2 linked regions of the Mus musculus genome follow. The protein of the gene in region 1 interacts with the protein of each later gene in a biochemical or structural test. Links are inferred from orthologs where the notes say so. Each region holds a gene or a part of one and is shown in the gene's direction. Other genes may lie near its edges.

Region 1 (3,749 bases):
GAATGCATGCATGGGTGCTGGGACTCAGACTTGAGTCCTCTGGAAGAGTAGCCAGTGCTCTTTGACTACTGGGTCATTTATAGTTGGCTCATTACTATTTACAGAAAAGATTATTTTACTAATGTCTTGTTCTGTGAAGGGTTTTTGATTTAAGTTTTCATTTTTCCCCCTTTACTTATTATAACCTTAATCCTCCTTGAATGCTTGTGCAAGGTCACTGTATTCAAAGGAAGCAGTTTAGGTCTTTCTATGACACAAGGCAACTAGTTTATGCGTTGGAAGGCGCTCCTGCCTACAACTTCAAAACTTTCAGTAGCATTTTAGTTGTCTGTAGCCACCAAGACTTTGTTCTAGCTGGGGGTGTGGTGGCACTTGGGAGGCAGAGGCAAGAGGATCTCTACGAGTTGGAGGCCAGTCTGGTTGACATTGCAATGTTCTATAATAGCCAAGGCTATTAGTGAGACCCTGCCTCAAAACACAAGAACAAAAGATGTGTCCTGAAGGGTCGTCTTTTTGTGCCCCCTCATCTCCCCCGCCCCCAACAGGGTTCTATGTCCTGTCCTGGAACTCACTTTGTAGATGAAGATGGCCACGAACTCACAGAGATCCGGTAGCCTCTGCCTCTATCACCCGGAGTCACGAATGTGGCAACAGCAAGCATGAGGGGCCTATAAAAATACTATACGGGTAATTCACTATATTCAGTGAGGGTTGGTCCGGGCCTCAGAAGCGCGCAAGTCGTCCCACCGGGAGGAGCCTAAGCAGTCAGTTTGACCCCAGACATTCGGCCTGCAGGCAAAGCGCTGGTCTCCCTGAGGGCTGCGGCAGCGGGCCTGATTCTCCCTCCCTCCGAAGTCCTAGCAGTTCTCTTGCTCCAGGCAAGTAGTTTACAACCTGGAGGATTTTAGCCCCCGGCCTTCCTTACGGCGTTTTCCCGCTTCCTTTTCCCGTCTTCGCTAACTCGCCTCTGCGCGCAGCGGAAGTGACGCAAGACGTAGAGGAAGTCCCTGCAGCCGCGGTGTTGTGCTGTAGAGAAGGGACGGATTTGTAAACCTCAGAGTGAGGTTCTGCCTGCCGGAGGCCGCAGTGGTGCGGAGACCCCCGGGTGAATCCACGTCACCATGTCTGACCAGGTACCGGGCCGGGGCCTTAGGGCTCAGGGCCGTCGGCCGCGGGCTGGGGCCCTGGACTGAGGCGCGGGGGAGGGGGCGGCTGGAGAAGGGGGCTGCCCGTGGGGAGGGGGCCGCGAGGGACGCGGGGCGCCTGGCGGAGTCGGGCCAGGCCGCCTGGGACCCCGGGGCTCTGGGTTCCACGCGCCCTCCGCGCCCCTCTCCGAGGCCCCTACCCCCGCGCCACCCGGCGCCGGGGCTCTCTCGACGGCGCCCAGGTTTCTCGCGGGCTCGCAGGGGGCCCAGGCCCGCTCCCTTGTCCCCGAGAGCAAGCTGAGGGGAAAACGACCGTTTCCCTTCGGACGACGGATGGCAGAAACCAGGCCCTAGGCCCAGTTATGTAACGGGAGGGAAATCCCCGACTGGGAGGCTAGGTGGCCCTGAAAAGCAGCTCGACTCCACTTTGGGTTCTTGGTCCCGGAGAGTGGGGGGCGGCCGGGGAGCCGTGTCTGAGGTGACTGGGAGCCCAGAGGACGCTGCTTTTCCGTTGTGTTTGCCTGGAGGGTCCGTCCATCTCTGCACACCTCAGTCTTTTTTTTTTTTTTTTCCTTCCGGGGGTGCGGAACGGTCCGCTCTTTCGCTGTACTTTCCATTTCTTACTCGGGATTGGTCCATCAACTCTCCAGTTCTCAGAGCGCTCAGAATAACCGAGAAACAGCAAACTGTGTATGGAGTGCCACCACCAACAAGCCATTTCGTCTGGGCTTTAACCAGCAGATGCTTGGCACTTTAAAAAAAAATATAGCACGTTTTTTGTTCTTTGATAATCAGATGACGCATTTAGATTATATGCACCCCCAAACCTCTCTTCCAGAAGTTTCTGAACTAATTTTCGAAGAAATAGAGAAAAAAAAAGTTATCCGTGTTGTACAATTGCAGAATATTTGCAGAAAGCTGTCAATTAGTAGTAAAACAGTGTGTCTCGGTTTTGGAATCAAGGATTTGCATGGTATTTGCCTTCAAATAGGAGTGACTCCTTGCCACCTAAATTTTTCTTCATCCTATTTTAGTTACTACCTTTGTGGCTAGTTTTTATATACATAAGGTTTTGGTCTGACTTTGCTTTGGTTTGCTCAGATGACTTAATTTTCAGAGTATTTTTTTTTTAACTTTTTCTTCTTTTGTGATAATTATTCAGTAAACTTTTTCATTCAACTTCACAATGTAGTTGGACTTTTTTAAAAAAAAAATTTGTTGTTGTTGTTTGAGACACGGATTTTCTGTGTAGCCTTGGCTTTCTAGGAACACTCTGTAGACCAGGCTGGCCTCCAATTTATAGAGATCGGCCTGTTTCTGTCTCCTGAGTGCTGGGATAAAAGGCTTGTGCCACCACAGACTGGCCAGGGTGGTTCTATTTTTATAGCCTATCTACACTGTAGACTAATTGTGGCATGGATTTACTTATTAATAATCTGAATTAATCCTCTTTTGGGATAGAAATGACTTTATGAATAATTTGTTTATGACAGTTGTTTACTTAGTTACCAGCTCAGAAAGATCAGCTGTAAATGCTTAAGTCCTGGAACTCTGTAGACCAGGCTGGCCTTGAACTCAGAAATCCCCCACTACCTCCCAAGTGCTGGGATTAAAGGCGTTGCCACCACGCCTGGCCTTTGTTTTTTCTTTTCTTTCTTTCTTTTTTTTTTTTTTTTTTTTCTTTTTTTTTTGGGTTAATGCTTAAGTTTCATCAGCCTTCTATTTTGGAAGAGCTAGAAAGCATGTTAGCCTGAAGAGAGGGCAACACACAGAAAGAGTTCTAAGTTTTAGGATTAGTTTTGCTCTAGTTTGAACTCACATTATATAAGGATATGGAGAAAGAAAGGAGGACCCAAGGGCACACACAGGGTTTCAGGGGATCGCAAAGTCACACTGTTGCTTGCTGTAGCACTCACCTCACTGGTCACCGGGGTTATTAGGTGTTGGACCTAGGGCCTCCCACATGTGCTTGCCAGGCAAGTGCTACAGCCTCATTTTTTCTTTTACTTTGTTTCACTAAGTTGCCTAGGTTGGACTGTAGCACAGCTTGCCTTTGAACTTGAACCTGGACTTCTCTCAGCCTTGCAGAGTAGCTGGGATTACAGAGTTATACTGTCACGCCTAGATGGTGTGTGTGTATGTATGTGTGTGTGTCTGTTTTTCTCATTCATGGATATTCAGTGAAGTTTTTAAGAAACATGACAGAAAAATGGAGCAAATCTTTTTTGTAGCCTTACAGCTTCTCACAGTTTCTTCTGTGTCTATCTCCTGAGTGCTGGGATTAAAGATGTCTACCACCACACCTGGCAAAACAAGTCTTTTTAATTGAGCTACACATTAAAGCAATTTGCATATGAAATAGTGCTGCTACTCTTAGAAATTTTGTCTTTAAAAAAAGTAATAAAAATGTATGCTAACGTTTTTTAGGGGTTATTTATTGATTCAAGTTAAGGGTTTCTCTGTAGCCTTAGTTGTCCTGGAACTTGCTCTATAGATCAGCTTGTCCTCAGATCTGCCGGCCTCTTACTCCCAGAATGTATATACCACCATGGCTCAGTTGATAGGTTTTTATTTTTTTTAATTTATTGTATATATGAGTACATT
Region 2 (3,397 bases), on another chromosome or scaffold:
CTGAAGCTCTCTTACATCCTTTCTCCCCCACAGTGCTAGGGATCAGACTCAGCCTGCAGGCTAAGCAGGTGCTCTGTTACTGAGCTACAGTCCCAGCTGTATTCTATCCCAGCAGCAGCTCAGGGAGGTCCAGGAGGGTGGGTGATGCAGATGAGGTGACTAAAGCATAGGAAGTGAGTGTCAGAACACCGTGGGTGGCTCCAGCCGCGTCCAGCCTCGTGAATCCACATGTCCTCCTCCCTAGTTTATTCATGGAAATTCTTAATTCCTGTTCGGATTGTGATGAGATCCAGTTCATGGAAGATGGATCCTGGTGTCCGATGAAACCCAAGAAGGAGGCATCAGAGGTTTGCCCCCCGCCAGGGTATGGGCTGGATGGTGAGTGACCCCCTGCTCCCCAATTGAGCTAAGTCATGGCTGGCCCTTTCTCTGAGACAGCCTTCTTAACCACCCACAGGTCTCCAGTACAGCGCAGTCCAGGAGGGAATTCAGCCAGAGAGTAAGAAGAGGGTCGAAGTCATTGACTTGACCATCGAAAGCTCATCAGATGAGGAGGATTTGCCCCCCACCAAGAAGCACTGCCCTGTCACCTCAGCGGCCATTCCAGCCCTTCCTGGAAGCAAAGGGTATGAGAAAGGTTGCTCCCATAGCAGAGGGACAGAAGTCAGAACTGCCTTCTGGCCACAGGTCGAGCTTTGGGACAGGGAAGAGCAGGCGGAGTGGGACGTGGGGCATCTGCGCTTGGCTAGCTCTCCGGCTCTTTCTCTCCACTCACAGAGCCCTGACCTCTGGTCACCAGCCATCCTCGGTGCTGCGGAGCCCTGCAATGGGCACACTGGGCAGTGACTTCCTGTCTAGTCTCCCGCTACATGAGTACCCACCTGCCTTCCCACTGGGGGCTGACATCCAAGGTAGAACACTGACCCTAAGGTGGAGGGGAGGGTCGTTCCCTGTCACCCTCTCCAGACCTGTTTCTTTGCCGAGCCCCAGGGACAGGGGGATTTTTTTTTCCCCTTGTGGTGAAGGAGTCAGAAGGGAGTTGATTTTGATTTTTCTTTTCCTACCAGGTTTAGATTTATTTTCTTTCCTTCAGACTGAGAGTCAGGTAAGTGGCCATGTTTAGGAAGATCCAAGATCTCGGAAGAGTCCATTCTAGACACATGATGTGCTCTTCCCCTGCCCAGTGTCCCTAGGGATTTAAAAATGCTTTCCTGTGAGGGGAGAACATGGTCCTTTCCCTGCCCCCGTCACTCCATAGTCACACCTGTGATTTCGTAGCCCCACTCTTCCTGCTCACTCACCCCCACACGGACTCAGAACCTTCCCTAGTGGATGTTCCACACATTTCAGACACCCACAAGGCCAAGAACTGGATGTCTGAAGGGGCTGTCTCAAGGCAAGGCACAGGAGAAGGGTCTGGGGGAGTAGGGTGGAGGCAGAGGTTCCCAGCTTTTCTTCTCAAGAATGCTGTATGATCCCTGAGGGCTGGTACCCCACGAGGTGGTTCTGAGGTGAGTGAGGTGCTGAGTCAAGACAACACGTCAAGCTGTGCCCTTCATCTCTCCAGCACTACGGCCCTTCAGTTATCACTTCGCTAGATGAACAGGACACCCTTGGCCACTTCTTCCAGTACCGGGGAACCCCTTCCCACTTCCTGGGCCCACTGGCCCCCACACTGGGGAGCTCTCACCGCAGCTCCACTCCAGCGCCCCCTCCTGGTCGTGTCAGCAGCATTGTGGCTCCTGGGAGCTCCTTGAGGGAAGGGCATGGAGGACCCCTGCCTTCAGGTCCCTCTTTGACTGGCTGTCGGTCAGACGTCATTTCCTTGGACTGAGCTTTTTGGATTATGAAATCAATCTCCATTGGCCCCAGCACTGAGCAGATCACGTTGTGGGTTCCGAACCCCTGGCTGCTCTGATCCCTCAGGGGTCATTGGCCAAAGGCCAGGCCAGAGCTTCATGGATACCTGCTTTTGGCCTTATCGCTGCCTAACAGGCCAGTACTCACAGGGTTAACATTTAACCTTTTTATGGTGGCACATTCCTCTGGGTATGGTAACCTAGGCAGTGGGAGGCAGATGGGATAGGGACTGAGGGATGAGGGGGTCCTTAGCCTTTACCAGATCTTCAGCCTCTTGGGGAAAGGCACTTTCCTGCCTCCTCTCCCAAGACTCTCCGTTCCCTACCCAAACCCAAATATCTGGTCTTTGACATCCATTCCGTTCTCTTTGACCATACAGTCGGGCGACAGGTCAGAGATGGACAGAGAACTCTATTTTGGATTGCAGATTTCTTTTTTGTACATAAATAAGAAAACTCCAAAGCATCCAAAGATGAAATCCCTTGCCTTTCACTCCCCAGTGTGACTCGAGGAGGAAACAAGGCCTTAGTTGTGATTCCCAGGGGCTGGGGAGCAAGGCGTGGCCTGTCTGCTGCCTGGGTCTCTATTTATATATTTAAGTTCACAATGTTTTTATGCTAAACAGCCAAGGGGCGAAGCGTCTAGTGGCCTGTGTTCAGGCCTGGATTACTCTTGCACCTTTTGTGGGACATGGGGGCTCTGTGTTCTCCTCCCCAATACTCAGGCCCCTTCCTTCAGGGCCAAGGCCCTGTGATGTGATTTTACTTTTATTCCCAAAGTTGTAGCAGAGTTCTCGCCTACAATAAAGGTTGTGAATGTTCTGTGAGCGTCATGGAGGGGAAGGGATGTTGTACCTCGCTTTCCAGACCCAGGGTTTGTGGGGCAGAGGGTCCATGTTCCATCCTTTCACTTAAAAAAAAAAAAAGAACATTTAAAGTGTTTATTACTGTGTATGCGGGCACGTGCACCATGGTTTTGCACGTGGAAGTCAGAGGGCAGCTTTATGGAGTAGGGCCTCTCCTTCCATCTCGAAGGACATCCCAGGTCTTGGGTTGACAGGCTTCCTTTGCTGGTCTGTGGTCTGTGTGGACGTCACTTTTACCTGGGAGGGAGTGTGGGCATTCGCACAAGCATAGCCAAGAGCAGTTGCTTTCTCTTTGTTTCTTTGATGTCCCTAAAAACATCATCTGGTACCAAGACTATGCTACCCGCAAGTCGGTCCTTACCTCATCTGCCCAGATGTTGCAACCAGAGCTGGAGGGCAAACTTGGTTCCAGCGCCGATCCTCTCTTTGTCCTCCTCTGCTGTGGTTGGGGTTGTCCGCATGAGTGTGGGCATGGGCAGGACCAGAGGTTGGGTTCCTCCATCGTCCTTCAGTTCGGTTGCACTGGATTATAACAGTTTCTGTCTGGGTTGTGCCTTGTAGCTTACAACGAACTTTAGTATATTGAGCCGTTTAATCCTCCCAAGTATTGCAGAAGGCAAGTGAGTGTTAACCTCACTTGACAGAAAGGAAACACATTCAAGGAGGTTTAAG

Evidence for each region.
Region 2: the proteins of Sumo1 (region 1) and Pias3 form a complex in vitro, tested with the Homo sapiens proteins (2 studies listed by BioGRID and IntAct, with this or other methods). The link is inferred for Mus musculus from reciprocal best matches to the Homo sapiens genes SUMO1 and PIAS3.

What each region holds. Positions count from the first base shown.
Region 1 is NC_000067.6:59,668,064-59,671,812, reverse strand, and holds the start of Sumo1 (small ubiquitin-related modifier 1), read left to right. Parts: upstream 1-978; 5' UTR 979-1,121; coding exon 1,122-1,133; intron 1,134-3,749. UniProt on the Homo sapiens protein: Ubiquitin-like protein that can be covalently attached to proteins as a monomer or a lysine-linked polymer.
Region 2 is NC_000069.6:96,703,282-96,706,678, forward strand, and holds the end of Pias3 (E3 SUMO-protein ligase PIAS3), read left to right. Parts: intron 1-244; coding exon 245-378; intron 379-457; coding exon 458-626; intron 627-777; coding exon 778-911; intron 912-1,067; coding exon 1,068-1,105; exon of another isoform or gene 1,106-1,567; coding exon 1,568-1,834; 3' UTR 1,835-2,789; downstream 2,790-3,397. Other genes in the region: Nudt17 (nucleoside diphosphate-linked moiety X motif 17), read right to left, coding at 3,088-3,247. UniProt on the Homo sapiens protein: Functions as an E3-type small ubiquitin-like modifier (SUMO) ligase, stabilizing the interaction between UBE2I and the substrate, and as a SUMO-tethering factor.